4 linked regions of the Pelodiscus sinensis genome follow. The protein of the gene in region 3 purifies or fractionates together with the protein of the main gene of each other region. This does not show direct contact. Links are inferred from orthologs where the notes say so. Each region holds a gene or a part of one and is shown on either strand. Other genes may lie near its edges.

Region 1 (7,203 bases), on a different chromosome or scaffold from region 3:
GGCACATCTATCTCCATCTTCTAGAGACATGGGAGGGGAGTGGTGGCGGCGGCTAGGAACACTTACTCTCACCCCCCTCATCAAGGGATTTAGAGTAAATTGGAGGTGCAAGGTCTCTCTGCCCTTGAGTAGGACCCATAATTCAGGTTGGAGGGGGAGAATAATTTATTATCTCTTTCTCCCCGCATAAGAAATTGGAAGTGAAGTGAAGGAGCCTCCTGCCAAGGAAGATGGACAGGGTGGATAGCACTGCATAGGAGAGCTGAACTAGAGCAGTCCCTGAAGTGCTGTTTCCTGCATGCTCCTGCTGCAGTCCCTCTTGTTGGCCCTTTGATTCAGTGCTGGAAGAAAAGGAGGAGGACAAGGATGTTCTTAACTCTCCTCTTTAGTGGGATGGGGAGGAATTCACAGGCTTGAAGGCACAGATCCTCATGAAAGTTAGGTGCCTAAATACCTTTGGGTATGTCTACACTGCACTTGTGCTCATAATAAGCTATGCAATTTGAGTTCCACAAATTGCGTAGCTTTTTTCGAGTGTATTTTGAAATAGCTTATTTTGTAATTTGACACTGTCTTCACGTCAAATTTAGAAATAAACCGCTATTCCAAAATGTCTCTTAATCCTCATGGAACGAGGTTTACAGGGATGTCAGAATAGTGAGCTATTTGAAAATATTATTTCAAAAGCAATTTTGAAATAATGGGCGTGCTGTCAAGACGCAAAATAGCTATTTCAGGATACTGGAAGTATCCTGAAATAGTGCCACAGTGTAGACGTGCCCATTGTGAATCTGCAGCAGATCAAACCTCACAGTAGGGAGGTTTTTCCAGATAATTGTCCTAACTGCTTCCTTTTTAAAATATCATCCCATTCCTCTTTGCTGTCTCCCTTGTGTACCAGCCTCTTTCTCTCCCTCACTGGGGATTACTCTCTTCAAATATTTGCAGGCTGTTATTGTTATCATGTACTCCTTGCTTGACCAAGCTATACACATATTTACCTCTTTTAATCTTTCCCCATAAATCAATCTGCTGTTCATTCCTCATCTCCCTCTGTCTTGTCAATAACTTTCTGGTGACATGGTACTCAGAACTGAACACGTTCACCTGAGTAGGGGCGGGGGGCAGCAAAGAGGGTTTATGTCATCTTTATGGTTTCTAGATTCTGAGGCCAGCTGGGAGTAGGGGTAGGGTGTGAATTGAGCCATGTAGACTCTACATCACTTGGGTTTCCCCCTGGACTTGGGAAATTCCTAGGCAGCTATTTAATCCAGCATTACAGCCCCTTTGTGCTGTGGATCCAAGAATTAGTTCCAATATTCCAGATGTGGTTCCACTCAGACCCACAGTTAAAGCTGTCACCTTCCCGTTTTGTGTGGTGAAGTGCTCAGCCTCCAATCACTCCAGTTTCTTTTGCTTCCAGCTCCTGTCTACTTTAAGCAGTAGCTGCCAGTCCTAAGTCTCTGAAAGCAGTAATGCTTCCTTGGTTTCTCCCCCACACAAAGTGTTAGACTTTGGAAACAGGTGTCTTCAGCTGGACTAGCTGTAGTTTTCAAAGCTAACGTGTTGTTATTTCCTACCCCATCTCTTGACTCTCTAGATCCCTTTGAATTATTTCTCTACACTCAATGCTGTGTACTTAAAAAACAACGAAATATCCTGCAGTAACCCTTAGGATGCATCTAGATTGGCATGATTTTGCGCAAAAGCAAATGCTTTTGCACAAAATCTTGCCACCTGTCTACATTGGCCACGAGTATTTGCGCAAGAACACTGACTTTGTAATGTACAAAATCAACAGTTCTTGCGCAAATACTCCGACACTCCTGCTCAGAGATAAGCCCTCTTGCGCAAGTATTCTTGCGCAAGAGGGCCAGTGTAGACAGCCACGTTAATTTCTTGTGCAAGAAAGCCCGATTGCTGAAATGGCCATTGGAGCTTTCTTGCGCAAGAGAGCATCTACACTGGCACGAATGCTTTTGCACAAAAGCAAATCTTTTGCGCAAAGGCACATGCCAGTATAGACGCTCTCTTGCACAAATACTTTTAACGGAAAATTTTTTCCGTTAAAAGTATTTGCGCAAAATCATGCCAGTCTAGACGCAGCCTTAGAGACTAACAAAAAATGTAGATAGTCTCTAAAGCGCTGCAGGACCATTCGTTGTTTTTAAAGTTTTTTCAGTTAGGGTGCACCTACACAGCACTGTAACTCGAAATAAGATACGCAATTTCGGCTATGCAAATTGCGTATCTCATTTTGATGCTATTTCAAAATAGCTTATTTCGTCATTTGGTGCCAAATTTCAAATTAAAGTGCTATTCCGAAATGTCCTTTATGCCTCATAGAATGAGGTTTACAGTAACGTCGAAATAGCGAGCCCGCATAGGCTTGCTGAGAAGACGCGAGATAGCTATTTCAGGATACTTCAGTATCCCGAAATAGCATTGCAGTGTAGACGTAGCCTTACAGACTAACATGGCTACCCCTCTGAGATTTTTAAAAGCTGTGTACAACACTCTCCCTTAAGTGCCTAGTCCTACTCCGCTTGAAGTCAATGGAAATAATACCAGACCCCTTTGCATCATCTGTTGATTTAAGTGGCATATTGTCTACTTCGCTATTGTGCTTGGTACTGGCAACCTCTCTTGGTCCTGTTGGATTCTGGGAGGAAGGATCTGCTGAGCTCTCAGTACAAGGCAGGGCGAATGTTCTAATGTAGGCCAAGTTCATCACTGATTTCACCACTGTGTCTTTTAGACCCGCTCTAAGCACAGAACAGGGGAGAAAAAGTAGCAGATGGCCAGTCTACACTGATGTGCCTATGTTTCATAAGCGATATATGATGCAGCAGGCTGACAGAGCTGTAGTGAAGAGATCTTTGTTGAACATAGACAGAGGCCAACAACGAGTGTTAAAGGGCTTGTGTTTGGTAGCAGCTCGGTCTAGTATTGCACCTGCTGTCACACCAAACTAATAGTTACTCCTGAAACCTGACCCTCTTTCTCCCCTTCCATTCCTTGTACTGCACCCTGAAGCTGTGTCTAGATTACATCCCTTTTCTCGAAAAAGGGATGTAAGTTAGACACTTCGAAATTGCAAATGAAGCCAGGATTTAAATTTCCCACGCTTCATTTGCATAATGGCGGCCACATTTTTTTTTTTAAATGGGCTTTTTGAAAGAAAAACAAGTGTTTAAACAGGGATCTTTTGAAAATAAAACCCTTTTTCAAAAGATCCTGTACTCTTCAAAAAACTTTATAGAAATATCTAGGTAATGCCCCCCTGCCAGCAAATCCCCCGCTTAATCTGGTGCACCACATTGCACTATGTACCTTCCAGTTTGACACTTATTTGCAAATATAATCAGAATAAACAACTTTTAGGGCTATGATGAAAGAAAACTTGTTAGAACTTTTGTCTCTGTCTCTCTCTTAATTGATGGTCTGGAATCTATAAACTGTGAATTGGATTAAATTAGTAATGCAAAGTAAAATAGCTATTTTCTTCACTGATATGAAAGGAAAAGGAGTGAAGTAAATTCCTTATCCACTCTAGATTTTTAAATTCAGTTTCTTAATTGCCACCAGCAAAAGCCAAACAAGAGCTGATCACACAATCTAGGCTCACACAATCTAGGCTCACATAATTAAAACAAAAACAATAGACTCAAGGTTGAATTTTAAATCCTCAGTTCTCCCCAGATCCAAACACCTTCCCACCCATCTTTTTGTACCATTGTTTTCCCTCCTTTTCAGGTGATACTTACAAAGATGAAAATATATTTACACATAAATAGCACAGGCGATATATAAAAATGAAGTTATTTATTCTCATTTGCAAACAGGCAGAGGAGATGAGTGGGAGAAAGAAACACAAACGATAAAAAGAGACTGGACTGTGTATTGCAGATCATATCAACACATTTATCATCATGCCAAGCCTGTTTTAACCTCCTTCCTTGCAACTGATTTTTGTAATATATTTTTATTTTCTTTCCTCCCCCACCCCCAAAAGTTATTTTCTGCCCTCCTCCTTTTGTTGGTTTTGCTCCCTTTTTCTTTTCTTTTTTCTATTCCCTACAATAAAGTTTCCTATTGGATAATGCCGGGTCCCTTATTGATGCCTGCTTCCCATTGGAGCTTCGTAGACGCTGACATCACTTAGGGAAAGAGGGGTTGGGCGTTGGGCTTGGAAAGCTCAGTTTGTTACCATCACCCCCGTCAGCTTGTCTTTGGCTGGGTCGGGTGCAACTTCCATTTTAGGTGTTGGATCTGAAAGAGGAGGCGAGGGGGGAAAAGCCAGGAAGGATCCCAGAAGAGAAAGAGGTGGAGAAAAAATCACTACATTTATTGGTTTTCTTTTTTTAAAACACATTTTGGCCGGGTTTTGCTTCTTGCGTTTCCTTTAGAGATTTGTTGGAGAAGTCCACCATAGAGTTTTGTGTGTTTGCAAAGCGACCCCCCCTCCCCAAAAAAAAGCTCTCGCCCAAGGGGAATTTTTGTTGGAGACTGGCATATTGTCACCCTGAGAGATTAGAAGGGAAGTTATAAGGCAGAGGAACAGCCGCACTGACAACTTTTAAAATTTATTTTGCTTTTATTTCTTCCCCCCCTGGTACTCAAAAAAAAAAAAAAAAAAAAAAAAACCTCACAAGGTGGAGAAACAAACTCCTGGATTTCGCCAGCGCAGCCCCTGAGAAGGGAGAAAGCCAGGGTAAGAATCATGTTGGTTTTTTTTGTTGCTTTAAAAAAAAAATCTCATCTCTTGTTTTAACGCCTGTTGTTCACTTTGGATTTTTGCTCCTTTTGTACTGCAAGCTAACAACTCTGCCTGGGTTGAATTGCTGGGGAGCTGTTGTTTTTTGTGGTGTCTTCTGAGCAGGCTGGGGGAGGAATGTGATCCAGTTTGCGAAGTGGGCTCTTGGTTTTATTTGCACCCTTTAATATGTTTTCTTTAAAACTTTGGGAAAACTGAGCTGCAGTAGGAAGGTTGTGGAGTTGATCAAGTGTTTTTTATTAAGTGGTGTTCTTGTTGGGAGTGTTGCGGTCCATTCTTTCCATGTCTAAAATCCACACTTTCTGCTTGGGTGGATCCCATTTTTTCCCCCAGGTGCAGTTGGGTGCGGGCCTTTCTCCTCTTAGCCTTCTAAAGAGAATCCATGTTGAGTTATAACCTCTTAATCTTTAGGTGGAGTTAAAAAAGGCTTGAGCGGGGGGAGAGGGGGAAAGGATATTTTTCACGGGTTCTAAATTATAATCAACAACTTGAAATGGGTGTGGAATGACTGCCACACTTAGCAGAGGCTAAGACTTGCAATCAAAACCTGGTCAGCACTCTCCACCTAAGCCGTGGCTTATTTTAACACGTAATGGGGAAGAAGGCAAACTTTAAGAGAGGCTTTAAGCAAACTTATTTTGAAGCAGTTACTTTAGGAACTCAGTCTAACAGATTGTATTTTTTTTTAAATAATTGTTTCTCTGTAACTTTCCTTGAGCTCTTGCGTTCAGTCTCTTGGAAGTGTGTGGAGGTTTGAGGCTTTTAGATACTGCTAAAAATGTACTTCTGTAGCCAGCTCATTGGGAACTAGGACATGCAGCTAGTTTCTAGTCCTGAGTTGTCATCTGTAGAATTAATGCCTCCATTCAAATACAAAAAGCCTGGAATTAGTGTAGTATTTAATTGCAACAAACTGGGGCAGAGAAACAGTCTGTGCTGCTGTTTACAATTATTATAGGAAGTCTGCACTGTCTACTAAATATGTTAAAAACATACTTTCTCTTCTCTTTCTCTCACTTTGCTGTGAAGACCTTCTGATGTCTTATGTTAGACTTAAGATTATTGTGGCCAGAGATCTGGGGAAACTTTTGTGGTGAGAGAAACAGTAAGCAGTCTAGTTTCTGGAAATGTACAGATCCATATTCTATATCTAAGTACCTGTATGGTGTTCCCTCCCCCCCCAGCCTCCACCTGAGGTTTGGTCTTGGATGCAGTAGAGAAAGAAAAGAGGGTGTTCTATTTTGAATGGTTAGAGGATGGTTTGGAAAGGGTCTGTGGGTTTCAGTGATGGCTGGTGTTCTATTTAGTACCCCACATATTATTCTTCCCCCCACTCCTTCCATATCTGGATATAAAGGGTTTGTGAAAGAGGGTAGCTGGTTTGAACCATTTGTATGATTGGCTTTAGTAGCCTTTCACAGCCAGGGAGCCCAGAGGAAGTGCTCTGACAGCTGGGGAAAGAACACAAAAACACTTCTACAAGTAGATTAGGAATGACTTGTCTCTGGGTGGCCTTGAGTGGTGCTATTACTGTGAAAGAAGTACTTCCCACACCCAAAGCTAATTGCAAAACCCTTTTCCTATGATCAGTCTTGTGCTGCTGATACACGTACTGAGGTCTAAGTCCTGAAGTCTAAGTCCTGAAGTATACCTTTGAAGTATCTGGGCTTTGAGTGAACCGTGTAACCTTGACCCCTCAGCCTCTTTCCACACCCCAACAAAACAAGTGACCTTTCTGTGCCAATCTTCTAGTTGGCACATGGAGCAGGATAGAGAATGTCTCTCTCTTTAGACAGGTATTTAATATTGGAGTAAGGGGTGGCCGGTGTTGCAACTAGTATCCTGCTCTCTTTTCCTGCATCATAATTTCATTTGTGTTTAGAGTAAGGGAAGTTGCTTATATATGTTTTGGAAGCAGAGAGTATTTTGGGCGTGCAGGCCTTTCCTTGGGAGGAGGGATAATTCTGGCCCCAGGGTTATGTGCTGTAAATCTTTTCAGTGATGCTTTTCTAAGATTTTCTCCTGTGGAGTGTGCGTGTGCGCGCGCACAGACTAGATCTACCTTGGGCAGATGAAATCTTAAAACTGTTATCTAATTTTCCTCCTCCTTTGTTCTTGCAGGGAAGGAACTGTGACTCTAGGGAGGGTCAAAACTGCTGGGTGGAGTCCATCAATACCCCTGCCCCCAGCCCAGGCCCCCCTCTCCCTCCCCCAAAGAGTCCTGGTAATGTAGCAGCCTTTTCTTTAAGAAACGAATCCCCTTTTCTCTCTGGCTCAGTAAGTGACATTGAAATGTCTCCAGTTAAGGAAAATCCCCCAGCAGTCTGCTCTCAGGGGTGCTGGGTGCAGCAGGATATTTTTTTTCCTGTGTTCATTGGCAGCACTCTTTGTCAGTTAGCAATGCATCTATTCACTCCCCTCTCTGC
Region 2 (6,892 bases), on a different chromosome or scaffold from region 3:
AGGGTGACAATATGCAATCCTCTCCCATCATAGCTTTGTGACCTCCTTTTGGATTGGGACCCCCCCGTTTGAGAAATGCTGTCTGAAGGGCTTTACATGTTTATGCTTTGTGACAACCCGATGAAATCTAAAAATTTAAGTATCTGATGCTGTGGATTTCACAAATGCTATGACTGCGAAACTGACCAAAATAGACAGTCTCTGTTCATCTGAGGAAGCGGGTTTTGCCCACGAAAGCAAGCTCATGCTTTTTATTTTGTTAGTCTAAGGTGCTACAGGACTACTTGTTTTCAAAATGGACAGTGAATTTGGTAGGAGACATCACCTGCTTGCTGTATTTTTTTCTTCCAGTGAAGAAACACCACCTCCCAGAACTATTTCATCAACATGGCTACATCTCTGCTGGGGCGTGGTTTTTTCCAAGTCCCATCCCACATCCATATGCCAATATAGTTTTCAAGTAGAGGCCAAGCTTACATTGCAAATCACAACTGTTTGTCAGGCAATTGGCAATCTAGATACAAGGCAAGTCTCTAGGGCTACTGCTGGGGACTCCTATCAGGCAATTTCCCTACAAAGAGTCTACACTTAGCTTGTAACAGCATCTTCCTTCCAACCAGGGCCAGATTAAGACCCTTAGAGGCCCTAAACACTGAAAAGATTATGATGCCCTCCCCATATGTAATTCAAAATAAAAAGTATCAGAGGGGGAGCTGTGTTAGTCTGAATCTGCAAAAGCGGCCACAGGACTCCTCGCCACTTTTTCAAAATAAAAACAATACTATACCGTAAAAATCTCTTTTTTTTGGTGCCCCTAAGCACGGGCTTAGTCTGCCTACTGGGTAATCCAGCCCTGCTTCCAACCATTGCAAAGTGCTGGGAGCCCGATGTGTGATCGTGCTTTGCAAGAACATACACTTCAGTCAGTCACCGCATGCAAGCTAAGAAAGCAGGTCGGGAGCATTTTATAATACATGGACAGGAGACCTCAGAAAACTAATATGTCAAACGCGCAAATACACCCTGAAAGCTGATTGTATGTTGATTCACTGCACAATCAATTACACAGAGGAAGGATTTCTTAAATGCCTGTGGCTCATGCCTCAGTAAGAGATTGCCATCTTAAGCTCGCATGGCGAGAGCCGAGCCAGAATGACACCCTTCCTATCACAACAGTTACAGAAACAGCAATGGCACTCTCCTGGAAAACCCAGTCAAGGAGACAATTTGCAAACTTGCTCCCCAGGAATCCAGCAAGAGAACAGGAAACGCCCATTGTGAGCTTTAAAAAAGGAACCATTTCAAGGACCAGCTGAAATAGATTTGCAGCACGCACCCCTCAGCAGTTTTTGTAATTTGTCATCCAGGAGTCCATCAAGTTGCACTGCCTGAATGAAAAGACAGCTAATTAGGTTTGAAAACGCAAGACGCCTCCAGTTTACACCACTTCCCTTTCGGTTTTAATGCACAGTCCAGCTTTCTGGAGCAGTTGCAGGATGCAAACAACAGGCTCCTGTCTCATTCTCCAGATTCCAGCAGGATCCAATTTCTCTTGCGCGAAACAGCGTCTCACGAGAGAGGTTCAGCAGCCACCCCGCAAGCCTTCTGCTCCAACAGAGACTCCAGGCACTTGCAAATTAGACGGCTAATTTAATACCGATCTCTGGAACTATGTAACAGGCTGCCTACAAGTGGTTTGCCGTCAGCCATTAACTGCTTTGATTAATAGCGACCTCAGCGTGTGTTCAGTGCAGGGTGATGAGGTTACTGGTGACACTCCTGTTTTGGCAAGGCAGGGTTCCCTAGAAGGGCCACACGGAGGGGGGGGGGGAGGGACACGACACAGCACCTGGCTGGCGCGGACAACGCGGGACACAAACATGTGCGAGTCTGAACCGCCCCCAATTTCCCACCGGCACGAACTTTACCGGGCGCCTGGACGCGTCCTGGCTTCGCTTGCGCCAGATTCCCCCAAACCAGCACAGCCCCCCAGCAGCACTTCGCTAATCCCACCGCAAGCGGCCGGGCTTTCCAAGCTCGCCGAGACCGCCCCCTCCCCAAGTTCGCCCGGACCCCCCCCTCCCCGAAGTTCGCCGGGACGCCGCCTGCCCCCAAGCTCGCCAGAACCCCGCTGCGCCCCAGCCCGGAGCCCCTCAAGCTCGCCAACACCCCGCTGAGCCCCGCCCCAGCCCGGAGCTCCCGAGGAGCCAGAGAAGGCCCCACCCGGCCCGGACAGCTCGGTTCCCAGGGCCAGGGCGTTGGCTCGGAGCAGCCGGCGGCCCGCGGAGCGGACACGCACCAGCTCCTAGCCGGGCAGACGCGAGCCCGGGTGAAGCGCCGCCTCAGTGCCCCCCCTTAACACACGCACACGTTCAGCCCTCCCTTTGCACACGCGCGCACACTCAGCCGCCCCGCTTTGCACACTCACCCACCCCCTTTGCACACGAGAGCACAGCTCTCCCCCTTTGCACACGAGAGCACTCAGCTCTCCCCCTTTGCACACGAGAGCACTCAGCTCTCCCCCTTTGCACACGCACACGCGCACACTCAGCTCTCCCCTTTGCACACGCGCACACTCAGCTCTCCCCCTTTGCACACGCGAGCAGACTCAGCCGCCCCCATTGCACACGCACACGCGCACACAGCTCTCCCCCTTTGCACACGCACACGCGCACACTCAGCTCTCCCCCTTGCACACGCGCACACTCAGCTCTCCCCCTTGCACACGCGAGCAGACTCAGCCGCCCCGATTGCACACTCAGGCCCCCCCTTTGCACACGCACGCACACTCAGCTCTCCCCCTTTGCGCGCGCACGCACTCTCGGGGGAGCCCGCGGGCCGACCCTCACCTGCGCTGCGCCGCACCGCTCTGCCCCGACACTGGCGGCTGCCCGGCTCGCACCCACCAAACAAAAGGCGAGCGCAGCCCGCAACCCAGCCCCGCCCCCGCGGTCCCCAAGGACACAGGCCCCGCCCGCTCGTGGCCGCCCATTCATTGGCCCGCTCGCCCTTCAGTCACGCCGTCGCGGGCGGGGGCTGCGCCGCCACCTGGCGCGATGGAGCGCCTCCCGATTGGCCGCCCACAAAGCGCAGGGCGGACGGGCCCGCGGGCCGGAAGCGGATTGGCGCTTGGTCGGGGAGCTGGGACGCGATTGGACGACGGGGGTGGCGGTCACGGCGGGGAAGGGCCAGTGGGCGGGGGAGGGCGTGTCCCTAGGCCAGGTGGGACGGGAGACGCTCACCTGGATGAGGTCATGCAGGTGGGGGCGGGGCTTCGGGCTAGGAGGGAGGAGCCTGCGAAAGGACAGGGAGCTGGGGGAGGGGAAAGGGCGAGCCTGGGCGAGAGCTGCGGGGCAAGGGGAGTCTGGGGGGTAGGGGCAAACCTGGGGGGTGAGTTTGGGGCAGGGGAAAGTCTGGGGGAATAGGGGGGCAGAGGGAGAATTGGGGACAGATGGGGGTGGGGGTGAGGGAGCCTGGCAGGGGAAAATCAGGGCTGGAAGCTGATCAGCCCTCTAAGAGCTCTTTGCCGCACATTCCTGTGCACCTTCATGCAGCTCCCCCCCCCCCCCCAAAGCAGTCCTATTCCCCACTAAATAAATTTAATGGAGATTGCCTATCTCTTAGAACTGGAAGGGACCTTGAAAGGCCATCAAGTCCAGTCCCCTGCCTTCACAGCAGGACCAAAGACCATCTATGACAATTTTTACCCCAAAGTCCTAAATGGGCTTTTTGAGGATTGAACTCACAATCCTGGATTTAGCAGGGCAATGCTCAAACCACTGAGCTACCACCTTGTCCCCCATTACCCCTGTTCCTGTCCCTCCTCCCCCAAAGATACTCCCCCGACACATCCAACAGCCCCATTTACCTTCACCTAACAGCAGTGCCACTCTCAGCAAAGGGCCCCTCCCATAGCACCCCACTCTCCAGTGAGGCCCTGTTCTTAGGAGCCATGTTGGTCACGTGCCTCTGAGCACTGCGGGATGGTGATGGAGAGACACAGGCTGTGCCTAAGTTCGGACCTGGAGAAGGCGCTTGCCGTGGACAGCAGCAATGGCTACCTCTGGGGTGGCTGTGCATGGTTAAACTGTTTGAGCGCAGGGGGCCATACCATGTTCAGCAACCTCATGCTCAAACCCCTCCTTTGGAGCCAGTTCAGTGCAGCCTTCTTTATTCAGCAACAACTTGGTGCGCTAGCTCCAGCCACGCTGCACAGTTTTCTGGGTTCTCTTCTCTTCATCTAGCACTGGCTTCCCTTCTGGACCAACACAATTCCCCAATGGTATGCAAGAGCCTTCTCCTTTGCCTCTCTCGCTGTCAGCCGCACGCTCCTGGTGTCATTCCATTTCTCGCCTAACTTCCTGCAAAAATATTTGTTTCTCCCTTGTGTTCCCTGTAGCGCAGCACAAACCCAGACAGGAACAACTGTGCAACCAGTCCGGAGGAGGCGAAATTGAAACAGTCACTTTTCTACTCCAGAGTCCCAGGGACGGCAAAAACGCTGATCAGAAATGATAAAAGACTTCCCATTAAAAAGCAATGAGGAGAGCATGTGCCTGGCCTACAGGGAAAGGAGCGAGCTGGTAGGAAGAGTATCTCACAGTTTAACACCCTGCCACCAGCTCACAGGTGACGCTGACAAATGGCCAGAAAAATAAACCCCAGCAGCCTCATACGCCTTTACTACGAACAGATGCTTGCTACAGCTGCCAAGGACTTGTACCTGAGGCATCTGCCTCAATTGCTCTCCGATAACCCTGCGTCTGGCTTGAAACATTCATAAAGAATCTTGAATTTGAAATATTTTGGGACTTGGGTTCTTTGTCTCTCGGAAAGGTTTGCAGAGATACAGTGTGTCTTGAAAGCCTCTGTAGCCAAAATAGTGGTGACAGGTGTCATATTAAGCACTGCCGAGAGGGAAGAAGGTGGCATAATGACACATTTTTTTATTATTACAACAAAATAGCAGCACATTAATCAGATATCTCTGGCTGGGGGTTAAGAATAGAAGGTAGAGTTCTTTGAAGGGGTCAACAAATGTGGAAAAGGGGGTTCCAGTAGATATAGTGTGCTTAGATTTCCAGAAAGCCTTTGACAAGGTCCCTCACCAAAGGCTCTTACGTAAATTATGTTGTCATTGGAATAACAGGGAAGATCCTTTCAAGGACTGAGAACTGGTTAAAAGACAGGAAACAAAGGGTAGGAATAAATGGTACATTTTCAGAATGGAAAGGGGTAACTAGTGGTGTTCCCCAAGGGTCAGTCCTAGGACCAATCCTATCCAACTTATTCATAAATGATCTGGAGAAAGGGGTAAACAGTGAGGTGGCAAAGTTTGCAGACGATACTAAACTGCTCAAGGTAATTAAGACCAAAGCAGACTGTGAAGAGCTTCAAAAAGATCTCACCAAACTAAGTGATTGGGCAACAAAATGGCAAATTAAATTTAATGTGGCTAAATGTAAAGTAATGCACTTTGGAAAAAATAACCCCAACTATACATATAATACGATGGGAGCTAATTTAGCTACAACTAATCAGGAAAGAGATCTTGGCGTCATCGTGCATAGGTCTCTGAAGATGTCCATGCAGCGTGCAGTGGCAGTCAAAAAAGCAAACAGGATGTTAGGAATCATTAAAAAAGGGATAGAGAATAAGACGGATAATATCTTATTGCCCTTATATACATCCATGGTATGCCCACATCTTGAATACTGCATACATATGTGGTCTCCTCATCTCAAAAAAGATATACTGGCATTAGAAAAGGTTCAGAGAAGGGCAACTAAAATGAGTAGGGGTTTGGAATGGGTCCCATATGAGAAGAGATTAAAGAGATTAGGACTTTTCAGCTTGGAAAAGAGGAGACTAAGGGGGATATGATCGAGGTCTATAAAATCATGAGTGGTGTGGAGAAAGTGAATAAGGAAAAGTTATTTACTTGTTCTCGTAATACAAGAACTAGGGTCCACCAAATGAAACTAATAGGCAGCAGGTTTAAAACAAATAAAAGGAAGTTCTTCTTCACACAGTGCATAGTCCATCTGTGGAACTCCTTGCCTGAGGAGGCTGTGAAGGCTAGGACTCTAACAGGGTTTAAAAGAGAACTAGATAAATTCATGGAGGTTAAGTCCATTAATGGCTATTAGCCAGTATGGGTAAGGAATGGTGTCCCTAGCTGCTGTTTGTCACAGGGTGAAGATGGATGGCAGGAGAGAGATGGCTTGATCAGTACCTGTTCAGTTCACTCCCTCTGGGGCACCTGGCATTGGCCACTGTTGGCAGACCGGACACTGGGATGGATGTACCTTTGGTCTGGCCCAGTCTGACCATTCTTATGTTCTAAGTCTAGTTTTACTCCTTACTATGCCTTTGACTGGTTCAGGAGTCTCTTTAGCCTCTGATTTTGGAGTCTTCAGTTCTCAGGTGCTCTGATTTTCGGAAGAGCACAGCTCCAATGAACTTCACTAGAGTCACGATCGCTTGGCACCTTGGAAAAGCAGGCGCAGTTGTCACTAACTGGACACCCGAGATCACTAGTCACTTTGGACCTGCTCACCAGGACAGCTTCTTCTTCAGGCGAGAGTGCCCACCTGACACACCCCTCCCAGGGGAAAGGGCAGGATTTGTTCATTTACGGCCGGAATGTGCTTGGAGAGCCTCAGCATTGTTAGAAACACAAAGTATTTTTGTCATGTCTTGATTATTATTGGCACTTAGGCCAATGTCCCAATTAATCCATCTTTTGAGAGCTTCAGGTGAAAGATGCCAGAATAGAGAAAACGCGATTACAGAGTTACTCATTGCTTGCCAGTCCTGGAAATGAATATACACACATTATATATAACTAGTTAGAGATTTGGCTAATGGGACCGGCATGCCACTCTGAAGA
Region 3 (7,169 bases):
ACAAATGTTGAAGAGATATGTCATCAGTGGAAAAGGCTGAATGCTCCTTCAGGTAGAAGAGATTTACAGTTGCAGACAACTGCCATGGGTCCTTAGTGACTAGTTCAGCATCTTTTATTGGCACAAAGTCTGAGTCCTCTGAGCCCTTCCATCTTCTAATTCTCCTCCACTCTGAATGGATCACATTACTCACTGAGGATTCCATGCACTGTCTACACATTCCCATCTACTTCTAGAAAGTTTTTCTGTTTAAACACAGAGGTCTACAGTTTTGAACTTGTCTGCTTAAAGTTTGGTACCTCAGTAAAAGCATACCAACCATATGCAATTTTGGATTGCATTAACAGAGGCAAATCATGCAAATCACAGAAGGTGATAGCATGGATGGTGGGTGAACAGCTGGCTTGGAGAGGCAAGCCCAGCCCCTTCCATGCCCGCTAGAGCCCACACAGCCCCCACTACAGCCACTGACCCTTGCCCCATGCTCCCCAAGTTCTCCATTGTGGCTGCTCGCTGGCTACCAAGGTGGGTGGCATGAAGTGCCAGGTTGCTGGGCATTGTAGCTGCTGGCCCTTTCTCTGTACTCCCAGCCTATCTGACCCCAAAGCTCCAGGTGTCCCAGTCTTCCCAACCCTGAGGCACCAGGCAGATGCACAGTGCCTACCTTCCAGGACCCAGAGCACTGGGTGGCCAGGTGGCCAGGCTGCCACACAGCCCCAGTCTTCCCAGCTCAGGGTAGCCATACACCCAGCCTTTCTGGCCCCAGAGCTATTAGCTGTGTAGCTGCCTGGCTGCATCAGCCTTCCCAGTGCCAGAGCACCAGGCAGACAGGAAGCATGGGCTACACTGTCAGACCCGACACCCAGGTGTCCCGCTTCCTTCTAGCCACCAGCCCCAGCACTGGGCAAAGAGCAGGTTGCAGCATTCAGGTAAGGAAGGGTCCTAACCTGGGGTGGAGCATGGGTGGAGTTACCTATGTCAGTTTGGGTAGGACATTCCTTCTCTTGCCTTCATTACCCACCTCTCATGGGTGATAGGATACATGAGATGCTAATGAGGCCTCAGCTGGAGTTTCCAGTGTTGGTCACAGCTGTCTGGAAAGGATGTAGAGAAACTGGAAAGTATCCAGAGGAGAGCAATAAAGCTGATCAAAGGGATGGAAGTGAGCAAAGACAGAAGGAGCTGGGTATGTTTAGTTTGGGAAAGAGGAGATTGGTGGGGACATGATAGCAGTGTTTCATATACTTGAAAGGCTGCCATAAAAAAAAAAAAAAAGATGAAGGAAAGTTGTTTGCTCTGGCCAAAGAGGGCAAGACAAGAGGCAATGGATTCAAACTTGAAGTAGGAATAAGAGCCTCCGGAAAAGGGCGCTTTTTCCGGAGGATCAGGGCCAGTGTAGACGCTCTTTTCCGGCTTTTAAAAAAGCCGGAAAAAAGCGGCGGACATTTTTATTTAAATGCCGCGGGGGATATTTAAATCCCCCGCGGATTTCCCTACGACGACTGGTGAAATTTACATGCCCCTTCCGGAAAAGGGGCCAGTGTAGACGTAGCCCAAGTGTTCAACACCCCTGAAAATCCACTTTAATTAGATGCCTCTGGAGTTTATTGCCCAGAAAGCACAACTGTGAGAAAGACTAAGTTCCTGAAAGTTTAGGAGATTGTCTGGTTTTGGTTAAGTATCCAAAGATAGTTTATCCTAAAATATCCAAGCTCAAATTACCTCATAATAATGTTTTAAATCCTATAGGGTTCCATAGAGATAAAATCTATAGAGTGAGAAAAGGGTCAGTGGAAATTTAATAAGGTTTTTAGACTCTAAATGCTAATAGAAAAATAGTGTTACTTGGTTTTGATTTTTCCCACTATCCTTCAGAATGCTGAGGCAGACAATTCTCCATTAATTTCTATAGGATCCGAAGGAAAATATTGGTTTGTAGTCCCTGCATACATATGGGAAGAAAGGGCAGCTAAAATAGCTTCTCTGAGATGTGGCCAAATTGTCACTATTGGACTCCTCCAATGCCCACTATAGGCAAAGGAAATATTCCCATTGACTTCTGTAGACTCTGAATAAAGGCTTTAAGTGAGACAGAAGTTGATTATGACTATATGGATTTGGCAAAACTTGGACTAGAAATTACCTGTAAAGACGACATTATTATGTTTTAAGCAACCATCCTTTGTTAAACAAAGATCATTCTGTCAATCCAAAAAATAGAGTTATTTGCAAATATAAACACTAGCTACAACTGTCATCTGCTCTGGGTACCAGAGTCTATTGCCTAAGCTGCATCATCTGCAGATGACTGTTTTCCAGTGAACTGCAGTTAACATCCTCCCCATCTCTCCTTCTCCTCTTCACTCAGCAGTGAAATAGAAACTGCTTATTTTCTTATGAGGAAACCTAATTATAATCAGTCTCCTTAAAGAAGACTTTGAAAAATATCCGCTCATTAGGTGCTTAACCTTCCTGAATAATTAATGTATCAAAATTTTAAAAGAGCTATTCATCTTTGCCACTGCATGTCATAAAAATGTGAAATAATGTAACCAAAGACCAGTCTTCTAGAAAACTGGAAAAATCAATCCCATTACCTTTGCTAAATTGTGATGAAGCATAGGGGCAAGCGAGTATTTCACTGCAGGATGTTATTATTTAAAGTCTTCTATAAAATATGTTGCACATTTGGCTACATTTATTATAACATACCTGTAAGACCTCAGACATTGGTCTCTTTTTAATCTCATGCTTCTCAGAGTTGCTCCTGAATTATTTAATAAAGTAATTCCTCTCTGGCTTGCAGGGTAAAAGAAATAGCGGGTCTACATTTTCTTCTTTGCATTTAGGGTAGGAGGAGAAATTAAAGTATATGTTGCTGTCCCAGAACAGAGCACAAATATTCTATGGACTTGTATCCACTACGCTGGGCATCGACACTACAGCAATTGATTTACTGGCTGTTAATTTATTGTGTCTGGTTAAATAAATTGATCTCCGAGTGCTCCCCAGTCGATGCCAATACTCCACCAGGATGAGAAGAGTAGTTGGTGTCAATGGCAGAGTAGCCCCTGCTGACCTTACTGCACACAAGACACTGTGGTAAGTATGTTGACTTTAGCTATGCTATTTGCATAGCTGAATTCACGTAGATTAGATCGACAGTGGGGGTTAGTGTAGACGAGGCCTATGTGAGCTCTATGAAGACCCATCTGCTTCTCACACTGAACTACCTTAACTTTCATGGGTGCAATGCCCATTAAACTCACTGTGGTCTAAACCTGGGAAACTCCCATTGGACTGCAACAGAAGAATAAATCAGGTCCACAAGCATAATTGCAACCACTCAACTTGGAATGTTTAACTTTCCCCCTTCCCTCTCCCTAAATATTCATCAGCTTTAAAAATTGCAATGCAACAATTTAATTCAAAAGTTTTCCCATTAGAGTTTTTTTCTTAAATTTTGAGGTCTCTTTAGTGCTTTGCAACTAAATCCGAACAGCAGCATTTCTGTGTCCTTCCTGTACAGGTGGAAATGAATATACAAAGTGCAAGGCAGAGGAGAATCATGCCCTAAATTGAAGACATGCAACCAAATTGTGCTCTCAAACATACCGGTGTGAACCACAGTTGCTTCAAATCTATACTGCTGTTGTCAAGAGCAGAATTTGACTCATGTTTATTTTCCAAAATTTCAGTATACACCAATCTACTAAATATTTTTTCATGCCACTAGCAAACTCATCAATTCTGCACCAAGGGAAGTAGTGGAAGTTTATGGGAACTCCCAACTGACTGATGAGCACTTCATTCATCATTGTTTCTGGTGTACAAATCCTGATGGCTTTGACTTACTAAAATATTGAAGAATCTTGTTCCATTTGAACACAAAACATTTGAAAATAAACCATACTAAGTATTCATTCTGGGATTGTTTTAAACTGTTTAGTACTAAACATATTAAGCACCAGCACTGGTTTGTATTTCTGGTAGAGTCCATTTCCCTTTATTCAGATACTTATTTGTTGTCCCTCTGAAAAGGTAAGCATAGTAATAATAAGCCTAAGTTTATCTGGTTTCCTCCACTCTTTTCTGTCATTGGCATTACTAAGGTTTGGAACAATAACAGGATGCTGGCATGCAGGATGGGAAAAGGCTGACTCCCAGCTGGGGAACCTTGGAGATTGGAAAGCTGAACACTCCCAGAATTGCTTAATGACAATGAAAACTGATTTTTTTGTTACTTGTTCTTCACTCTGAGTAGTGCTGTGTAGATTTCTGGATACTTTTGATTTAGTTTGTCTAACTTTGGATAAAAGTAAAGCTTCACCGCCTCTTGTGTAACAGGTAAGGGACAGTGGAGTACTCTTTCTCTTTTCAAGTAAATTTTAAGGGCTTTTATTGCTTTGATTTCTGTTTAAAGTTCTGAGATGGACTATTTACTTAATATTCTGTCATTAGATATCTTTGCAGCATCCTCTAAGGTGATCCTGCTGTAACTTGGGCATAATTCTATTGGCATCAGTGGAGATACTATTAGTTTACACTGGCATGAAATTAAAATCAGGTTCTCTGAGGCTACAGAAAAATACTCTCACACTGTAAGGAGTATTTAGACTTGAAGAAATATATCTTTTTTATACCTGTGGTTCATGATGCAAGCTGAGATACCAGGATATGCTGTCACTGGGCTTTTACAAGGAGACATAATAACAGAATCAATACTACAAAATGTATCTGGGGACCTTTCAGCTGCAGTGCAGACAGTAATAGGCTTACTAGTTTGTCATTGGAAAAAATGTATGCTATGTTATATCTGGCTTCCTTCAGACATAAATACATTGGCTCAAGGTTGCAGAGTTCCTTGGGTATTCTTACCTACTTAAAATTGTGAAAGGAATATTACTGCTATTGGAGCTAAGAACCAAAAAGTTAGAGCTCTCATGTTCAAAAGGCAACTCTATGCAGATTTCACATAGCTGGAACTACATATGTGTAAAGACAAGGCACTTTAAATCACTTATAAGTGATTTAAAGCTTCAAAAGGGACTCAGGCAAATAGGAATATAAGTCCCCATTGACTTTCAATGAGATTTTGGGGCCTAAGTTCCTGGGCAACTTTTAAAAATGGGACTCAGGTGCTTCTGAAAATGTTACCCTTGATGTTCTAAGTTCCATTTAATTATACCTAATCCCTACAATCATCTGTTGGTCTGGAAGTAGAAGCTTCTGGCTCTCAGCTCTCCAAACTTACTAGTTTTTTGGTAAGTTACTTTATGGAGAGGGCCTTGAAACAGGAAAACCGCTGACAGAGCTTTTATGTTGTTATAACTATAATGTTTATAGTTATAGTAGCAGGTCCCTCAGTTGTATTTTTCCATGCAACTTGCAAAGACACAAATGTTTATGAATAAGAGTGGAATCAATGCATCTTTGTGTCTGTTGGAATTATAGTCAGGGAGGACTATACCTCACCGTGCTGCATGCCATGCTACAGGAAAGAATGTGAAATTCAAGAAAAAAAAATGTGGAATAGGCTGCTTTTGTGAATAGTTCTCCGATCTTAAATATTAAATATTAAAATTGTGATTTTTCTATAGGGCTAGATGCAGGGCTCAGTACTGAACATGCTTAAGCAGAAGGTGTTTCACAAACAGTTAACGGTTATGAAGGTATTTGTCAAAATAATATGTTTGCCTCATATCCTGCTTTTGTTGAAGTAGAATAGAGTAATTAAAAACAGGATATATGTGAAGGGACTTGTATAATTTCTGCCTTGGAAGCTCATATGATTGTAGCTTTTGCTGAGCTTGGCTATATAAACATAAAATAATATTTAAAAGAAAACAAATCTTCCTTTTCCAGTGAAAAATAGAAAAAATAAACTATTTCTTGTCTGCAAGATGGGGTTTAAAATCAAGCAAATAGTGGTGGTTGGGTTTTCAAAAAGGATTAGTCTAAAGTTTTACCATTTATACATCATTTTTGTTTCTAATGTAAGTGTATCCACATTCCAGATCACTTTGGAGCTTAATTTAGATAGATTCAAACTCTAATGACAAGTGGGGAAAAATGTCTTTCATGAGATGTGTGAACTGGAAATATTTTGTGTTGGAGGAAAGCATTTTAAAAAGGTGCACAAAGTACTTTTCACTCTTCATTCCAGTATGTTTAAAATGAGAGGAGCCCCAATTGCTGAGCACATATGTTGGTAGAATTAATTTCCTTTTTGCACTGTTATGTGTCAGTCATTATTTGTGCAAACTAGAGATGTGCCCAAGAAATAGGGGGAGGAGGGAGATTTGCAAGGCACAAAAAGCGGACGGGCACCCAAGACACACTGACTTTCATTGGAAGCTGGATGCTTACCTCCTATTTACGCCTTTGAAAATCCTTCCAAGAATTTGGATTTAGATCTGGATTCCAAACAGACCTTGACTTCACTCAGATGCAGGGATACAAGTGTGGCCTACTACAAAGATAGCAGCTGTTTGCTTACCTCAATTCTGGATTTAGATTTGAAATGACGACAACGTTTTGGAGCGATCAAGTCTGGGAGAACTGGTTTAGTGTCATATTTACTACCAACATCAAAACACAAGGACCCACCATAATGACGGTCACAAGTCATGGTGATCTGAAGCCACCATTTCACCTTATGTGAGCAGTTTTATAGTTCTGAGATCCATTCTCAAAAATACTACTGGGAAACGTACTTCCAGAATTCTTGGTATTGTAGTGGAAACACGGAAAGGAACAATGCCATGGTTAAGGCTGCATACAACTAAAATATTTCAGTTATCAGGGGGTTTCCATTAACATTTTCTTTTGTTTCTGAATTTCACAACCCACTCATATCCCAATTTCTGCTTTGAGTTTGGGGTTTGTTCAAATCCCCAAACTCAAATCCCATAAAAAACTGCTAAGTTTTCCATTAAAGGCTACAGCTTCAAGGCAAAAACATAAATTGGCCCATTCACTGACCTTATGTTTACTCAACCAGATTGTGAGCTTTAAATATACCTTATAGCAAGCTTGTTCAAATTTGTAACAAAGCATGAAACCAGGCAAATTGAGGGATGTATGGGTTTTTTTAACACATTTTTCAGAGCCCTGTGACATACTTTCAAGAATATGTTACTATCTTCTGGAGCTTATTTTATTGCATG
Region 4 (7,396 bases), on a different chromosome or scaffold from region 3:
TCATCAAATCTGGCCCTCTTTGAAAAAAAGTTTGGGCACCCCTGCCTTAAGCAAATAACTTTTCAAGTTCAGTGGAATAAGCATTTGGGGATTTCCAAGAAAGGCATTGTATTACAAGAGAAAAGGACACAAACATTCCAGTTTCACGTTAGCAACACAGTAAAAGTCAGCCTGCCATATTCTATTTGATGTCTAGTTAATTCAGAAGATGTAGGAATCTCAATTGAGTATCCAACACTACTCTATTGATGATTTAACAAGCATTTGCACAGGGGACCATAAAATGCTCTGTCCTCACCCGAGGCTTATCTTAATATCTATGGATTGCTCAGTTTCATTACAGATGACAAGTAACATTTCCAATTAATTCTTTGCAGGAGAAAGGAATTTATGAAGCCACCCACCTCCACTGTCTGACAACAGGATCTAATTTCAATTCATGTTAAAATTCCACTTAAATATATTTCCAGTTTAAATACTGCCATTGTTGATTCTCTTGTAAAAGCTATTTCTCAATTAGTTGCAAGGAGGCACTCAAGTAGTTGATCTATGCAGAAGATTTGTTTAAATCTCTTATCCTCCAATTACTTGTTATTACTTCATTCAGAGCAATTACCATGGAACTCCTCTGCATGAAGAAACTGCATGGCAAACAACATCTCAAACTTCACAGGAAGAAACCAAATGTGAAGCTACTAATTAATTGGTTTACTTTTTAAGACCTCAAGAAGCTTAAAAGTTTTATATTAAACATAAAAATATTTTGTTGACTATTTTAGTTAGTGTGAAGATAAGAGTTCTAATTCTAACTCTGTCCACCTTAGATAAACATTTACTCTGCTTCAGATTCCTATTAGAATTGGTAGAAAAATAAAGCCATTTTCATGGAAAAGCTGAGATGTTCAAAACTGACCTTTTTAACTACAAACTTTTGGGGGGGGTGCAGAAAAACTCTGTTTTGGAAACTTGGGGGGTTTGTTTATATTTTAAAGCAAAATGGGCACAGTCATTCTTAAGCCACATATATAAAGCATTTTCAAAATAGGCTTTTTTTTAAACATCAGGCTTTGTTCAAAGAGGTAGCTAGCTCATTATGTATTTACAATATACTAATACTTAGAGATCAATCAAATTGCAGGCCTATTGTACTAGTCATTGTACAGACAGAGGAAACAGTCTCTGACCCCAAAAGCTTACAATCCAAGAGGCAAAATAAAACAGGTAAGAGAAATGTTCAAGCACAGTGGTAGAGGACAGGCGGAGAGGAAGAGTCTTGGGAAATAGACAATAAATGCACAGTTCTTAGGCAAGGCAAGGTTTGTAATTACATATCACTGCCCACCTAGAAATTTTCAGGCTGTGGTTTTCAGTATCTGCACAGGTATGTTTTGAGGAATGACAGAGGAAAATATAGTGACTTTACAAGTTTGGACAGGAAGGTTTGCTACTCCTCATGCACAAGGAGGAGATAGTACCACAAGAATTCAATTAAGCCTAGCATTAGTTAAGTAAAGATAGGGAACAAATTAGAAGGATTGTCAATGTACGTTTGTCTATGATGAGTTTGGAGAAGGAGAAGCCAATGAAGGGACTTAAGAATGGAATGGGGTGGGGAAGAAATGACAATCAAGCCTAGCTCCTTATCTTTGCTCCTGCATTAAATGCAGACAGTTTGCAAGCATCAAGGCCAGACAAGATTAGTGCAGTAGTCAAGTGATATAGGAGGATCCTGACAGCATGTGACCAGTAGTTCATAGAAGTAAATGACCAGCACTACTGACCTGAAACAGAAGTGTCCAGAGGGAATCACCAAGCAACTGTACAGATATTGCATAAGTCACTTAGGAAGAGAAATACATTTTGTTGTAGGTTCCTTACACTCTACCTCCACCCAGAACTGGTTCTGAAACTTTACTATAGTATGTATATTACTGGGGTTCTCGTGTAACACTCTACCTCCACCCAGAACTGGTTCTGAAACTCTACTATAATATGTATATTACTGGGGTTCTCGTGTAACACTCTACCTCCACCCAGAACTGGTTCTGAAACTTTACTATAATATGTATATTACTGGGGTTCTCGTGTATTTTTCTGCTTTTGCAAGGCAAAGGTAGACTACACAAGCTAGACATACTTAAAGTGAAAACCCATCCAGCGACACAGCAACACTCCTTTGCAAAGCAGAGTGAGTTTTCAGGCCCTGGGTACGTACCACTTGCTCTCGTTCTTCACTGCAGAGTCCAGAAAAGCCACTTCAGTGTCACAAGACAAGAGCAATGTGTCGGTTTTGGCATGAGGCCTACGTGACAATTAAGCGACTGCGCTAAGGGAAGCGCTGTGCTGGTCTGGCCGGCTACAGGCCTCCCGTTGCCCAGTCCAGCCACGCACCTTCCGCGCCCCACCGACGCCGCTGGGCAGAGCCCCCCCGCAGACGGCGGGGAGGACGCCACCGCGTGCCCCTCGGAGCGGGGGGCTACGGGCGGGCCGCAGGTCCCACATTCAGCCGCGCTGTGCACGGATGCGGAGCCCCCCCCATGAGGCGGGGCCCGCGAGGGGGACACGGCGCCCGCCCGCGTCTGGAAACTTTTCCGCGGCTCCTGTTACCTGCAGCGGCTCGAGCAACAATCGCTGAGGGGCCGGGCGGGAAACGCCCTTGGGGCCCTCCCGCGGGGGGGGGCTCACTGCGGGGCCCCTCCCCCCAGGCCGAACAAAGCCGGGGCGGGGGCTGAGGCGGCGGCTCCCCCCCCCGCTGTGAGGAGCGGGCCGCTTCGCGCCAGACCCGGGCGGCTCCAGGGGCCCCGCTGGCGGGGGGCGGGGGGGGAGTTCCCCACTCGGCCGGGAAGTTACCTGCGGGTCCCGGAGGCGCCGCTGGAGCCGGGGTCGGAGCCGCCTCAGCCGCTTTGTCTCTGCGCCGCGCCCGTCCCGGCCGGAGAGGAGGAAATGGGCCCTTCCGGGCACCTCCCCTTACGGCCCGGCCGGCTCTTCCGGGCACCTCCCCCGGCAGCTCGCCCGGCTCTTCCCGGGACCGCCCGCCCCGCGCAGGTGAGAGGCTGGGAGCTCGTCCCACGCGCGGCGGGCGGAGCGGCCGGGGTGGGAACAGCGCGCAGGGGGTGAGTCAGAGTTTCAGGTGAGAGGAAGGTGCCTGCGCGGCTGGCGCTGGGGCGGCCTGGGGGGCAGGGGCGTGGAGTGGTAGGGATGGAAATAAGGGGGCAGAGGGCGAGGGGGCAGGGAGTGGGGTGAGATGGGGGCAGAGAGGGATGATGGGGCAGAGGGCTGGGGGGCAGGGAGTGGAGTGAGATGGGGCAGATGGCTGGGGGGCAGGGAGTGGAGTGAGATGGGGCAGAGGGCTGGGGGGCAGAGAGGGATGATGGGGGCAGATGGCTGGGGGGCAGTGAGTGGGGTGAGATGGGGGGGCAGATGGCTGGGGGCAGACAGGGATGATGGGGCAGAGAACTGGGGGGGCAGGGAGTGGGGTGAGATGGGGGCAGATGGCTGGGGGGGCAGTGAGTGGGGTGAGATGGGGGGCAGTGGACCTGGCTCCATGGCACAGGAAGTTCAAGCTATTAATAGGGTCTTCCCTATGGGAATAAGGTGCATCCTGGTGGCTGCAGAGGGTGTGGCTAGAGGAGGCAGAATGAGACAGGACAGCTCCAAGAGTCAATGTTCAGGTCTAGATTTCAAGTCCCAAGGCAGTGAGGTTAGGCCAGGGGCTCTCATTGTGCATTACACAGTAAACTCTTTCTGACAACAAAAATGATGACATGTTCCCACGATGGTGAACCAAAGCCTGAGCTTTCCTGAACGGGGCGGGGAAAGGAGAAACCAAAGCCAAAGTCCTGCTGCTCCAGTGCGGGGTGGGGAGAGGTGAAGCCCAAGAGCTTCAGCCGCTCGCAGGGGGGCTGTAACCTGAGCCTTGCCATCCAGGGCTAAAGCCTTCAGTCTTCTCCTTTATCCCTGGGCCACAGCAAATCTAACATCAATCTTGGTGACCCCATTAAAATGGAGTTGCAGCCCATTTTGGGGTCCCAACCCACAGTCTGAGAACCACTGGGCTAGGCATTGGCTCTGGGATTTGGGTCAGCATTTCACAGACTGATGCCCAGTTATGAAGTTTGGATCAAATCTGGGTTCAGATTTCAGCCTCTCGTCTGGTGAAGGGGTTTAGATCTGGCATTTGACCTAGTCCAATGTCAGGCACCAGAGGAGAAATTCAAATCTGGACCTAATTCCGTAAGGGGGGGGTCCAAAATCTACCACCCCACTACTATAATGATGAGCAGTGCTTAGATAGATAAACCTATCCATAACACTTGCACTCCATATCTCCTCTGAACCAGAATCACTGGAGATTACTCAAACCTAACTACATTGGACTATTGAACAAACAGGTCATACTCTCTTTCACTCTTTAACTTCAGTGGGTGAAGAAAACTTAGGGCTCCATTTCACTTTCCTATCAAAGGCGTGTGTGATAGTATCATCTGTTTCACCTAAACCGCTGTTCCTGTTTTGGGTGCTGTGGTTTCACACCACACTTCCTAGAGTTTCACATATAAATAAAGCTAGCCTCAGTCAAAATCTGTCTTACTGTACTTGCTTTCATAAGAGCATTAGGCAAAAGGGTGCAACACTCACCTGTGATCTCAGTTCATGCGGTTTTGGGTTCAGGCCCAACGCTACTTCTGAGTGAAGTTTCCAGAAAACTTGGGTTGCTTTAAGATTTCACAGGGGCAAAGAGGGAAATGCCCTGGGCAGGACCTAGTGATGCAAAAAGGCCCAAAGATCTTGCTGCGGGTACTGCAGCAGCGGAGGCAGTGAGAGCCCCAAGTCCTTTAAATCGCTGCCAGAATGAGACGCAGTGCGCTCTGTCCGGCACTATGGCTGGGAGGGAGGCACAGTGCTTTCTGGGCAGTACTGAGGGCTCCCTTCTACTTGAGGCTCCACACCTGCCTTGCCCAGGTCCTGGCGAGGCTGTTGACCCTGCCAATTTCACATCTAATGCTTGGAAAATGTACCCTTTTGCTCAGTGCTGAGACCAAAGCAGGTGCAGTAAGGCTAGTTCTTTTAAAACCCAAGGGGGAGAGAATGTAAAACCACAGGAACCAAAACCAGGAGAGGTTTAGGTGAACTTTACATACATATAATGGCTTTAGAATGGTTCAGACCAACCTGGGGTCACATTGATGTTCTAAGATCACATTGGTATTCAAAATCCACATTGGAACTTTTGGATCTGGGCAATTCTCCAGTTCCATGTTTTTTGAACCTTAACATTGTTTGATAAACATGGGCAGAGTTCTGAAGTTGTCAAAGCTTGACAGCAGACATGATTTGTGTGTTTCAAGTTTCATAATAAAAGTTTGATGTGTCTTTACTTTTTATAGTCTCTAGAACAAAAGTGGAGGGTAGCAGGTGGTGGGTGTATGTACACACACACACTCACTCTCTAAAATTAAAAAACAAATGTTGCAAACTCTTCTATTCCACACAGGTTTCATTTTTTTTCCTTTATAAAATCTAAATGTTATATATTAATATTTTAGATGGTGTTGCTTTTTTTTAAAGTTGCTGTTTTCATGCAAATATCTTAAATAAGGCAAATACTTTAAAGCTGTGTCATAAAAGGGCTGTCAAAGCTGTGATAAAGCAAACAAGGAAGATTTGAGGAAATGATGCATATTATTTTAAATGTTTCGTTGAATCAGAGCAAGAACCTTCATCAGAAGAGAACAGACTTTTAAGAACTGACAAAGTTTAAACTAACTGAGGTAGGGTTGGCAAGTTTGTGTATGAGGAGGTTTTTTTCAAAGTCTCTCACAAAGCAGCAGTGTGAGAAATTGACCCTTTCTGTGTCATATTCAGTTGGGTTTTTATTGCTTTTCATAACACATTTTGAGATGGCTTTTTATATGAATGTTTCTATAGAAAATGATTGCATTGCAATAGTGACTGAATTAAAGTAATGTTTCATATCTCAAACATGTCAGTTACTGAGTCATCTGAATCCACGCGCTATTTCTGTTTTCTGGCCGATGTCAATCAAAAACCACAGCGAGTCTTGTCAAGGAGAATATAGCTGTGCCCTGTGTGATTTTTGCAGGGGGACACACAGCATTTCTCATCCTGATGTCCGCAGGAGCCATGCTGTGGGAACAGGAAGGATTTCAGAGCAGGCACCTATCCATGCTTTGCAAGGATGAAGGTTGAAATCCCCTTAGATCATGGCCCCCCTGATATTAACAAGTCCGTGGAAGAGATAATGCACCAGGCAGAGATTTCATATTTAATCCCTTCCCATAGGTTTAACCAAGAGCAGGGAGCAGTTAGCCCCAGGACAGAGAAAGGAGAATCGTACCCATCATCCCAAAGTCCTTAATGAAAATAGACTGCATGCAGCAAGGAAACCATCCTGTCAATTTGAGTTTTTCCACTGCAGGTCCTGAGTTCAGGACTGTAACCTTGGCTGAGAGACGATTTATTAAGATAGCACGAACTGTTCATTGACAGTCCTTTAAATAAATAGGCTCTTTAACAACAGATTTTTAAGGGCTTGGGGTATTCAGCTTGCACTAAACCATTAATATTTTCAGTGTCATTGGCAGCAGGGAATCCAATCAATTATTTTTGATCTGTAGCATATTCTCAATAAAATTCAGTCTATACTTCAATGGCTTGCTCTCTTTCATTAATTCTTTTAATATTATGTCTTGGCTTCCTGCGGTGGCTTCTGCATTCAGCACTTCCCACATGCTTTGGGGACAAAATGGTGGCTAGAAATCAGCACAACATTGCAGGCAATAATCCCTTTTAGACAACTAAGGATAGAAGATTAAGTGGCAATTCTGTTGGTTCGTGTACGTATCACAAGTTTAAATATACAGCTGTCAAAGCTAAAGATATAAAAATGAAGTCACCTCGGGGAGGAGACTGGAGTTTCTGTCCTGATTAACAGTTCTCCCTAGATTATAACAACAGGGATCTCTATCACTCTGAATAAAACAGAAGGTGTTGATCAAACAAAATGCCCATATCAACAGCAAGAACTCCTAAAAGAGAAGTCATCATTAAGAGTGAAGCAATGCTTGAAACTAGTCAAGTTAAAAAAAAAAAAAACTAGCTAAAAGTTGTCTTAAATGGTACATTTGCTGCAGAGTTCTCAATGCTAAGACTTGTGGTTTTGTAATCACATTTTTTTTTCTTTTCTCTTCTCTTTGCTATATGAAAGACACTATTACATAATAGAAGTAAAATGGGCAATACAAAATGAAGTCAAAAACAAAAAAAGCCTTTCATTCTCCAGCCTCTTTCAGGTGCAGACATTGTAGGTGCGATAGCAATAAGTAAAACTTTTCTAGACCAAAATGGATTTTTAACTTACATTATAGTAGATGTG

The links.
Region 1: the proteins of CDH5 (region 3) and CTNND1 purify together in Homo sapiens (affinity purification with western blotting; 3 studies listed by BioGRID and IntAct, counting the BioPlex papers as one, with this or other methods). This does not show direct contact. The link is inferred for Pelodiscus sinensis from reciprocal best matches to the Homo sapiens genes CDH5 and CTNND1.
Region 2: the proteins of CDH5 (region 3) and JUP purify together in Homo sapiens (affinity purification with western blotting; 3 studies listed by BioGRID and IntAct, with this or other methods). This does not show direct contact. The link is inferred for Pelodiscus sinensis from reciprocal best matches to the Homo sapiens genes CDH5 and JUP.
Region 4: the proteins of CDH5 (region 3) and CTNNA1 purify together in Homo sapiens (affinity purification with western blotting; 4 studies listed by BioGRID and IntAct, counting the BioPlex papers as one, with this or other methods). This does not show direct contact. The link is inferred for Pelodiscus sinensis from reciprocal best matches to the Homo sapiens genes CDH5 and CTNNA1.

Annotation. Positions count from the first base shown.
Region 1 is NC_134714.1:128,674,646-128,681,848, forward strand, and holds the start of CTNND1 (catenin delta-1), read left to right. Parts: upstream 1-4,180; 5' UTR 4,181-4,326; intron 4,327-4,655; 5' UTR 4,656-4,714; intron 4,715-7,203. UniProt on the Homo sapiens protein: Key regulator of cell-cell adhesion that associates with and regulates the cell adhesion properties of both C-, E- and N-cadherins, being critical for their surface stability.
Region 2 is NC_134739.1:9,927,957-9,934,848, reverse strand, and holds the start of JUP (junction plakoglobin), read right to left. Parts: upstream 3,006-6,892; 5' UTR 2,993-3,005; coding exon 2,850-2,992; intron 1-2,849. UniProt on the Homo sapiens protein: Common junctional plaque protein. The membrane-associated plaques are architectural elements in an important strategic position to influence the arrangement and function of both the cytoskeleton and the cells within the tissue.
Region 3 is NC_134722.1:19,395,610-19,402,778, forward strand, and holds the start of CDH5 (cadherin-5), read left to right. Parts: upstream 1-4,168; 5' UTR 4,169-4,347; intron 4,348-7,169. UniProt on the Homo sapiens protein: Cadherins are calcium-dependent cell adhesion proteins. They preferentially interact with themselves in a homophilic manner in connecting cells; cadherins may thus contribute to the sorting of heterogeneous cell types.
Region 4 is NC_134727.1:3,751,262-3,758,657, forward strand, and holds the start of CTNNA1 (catenin alpha-1), read right to left. Parts: upstream 3,010-7,396; 5' UTR 2,851-3,009; intron 2,630-2,850; exon of another isoform or gene 2,608-2,629; intron 2,486-2,607; exon of another isoform or gene 2,216-2,485; intron 1-2,215. UniProt on the Homo sapiens protein: Associates with the cytoplasmic domain of a variety of cadherins. The association of catenins to cadherins produces a complex which is linked to the actin filament network, and which seems to be of primary importance for cadherins cell-adhesion properties.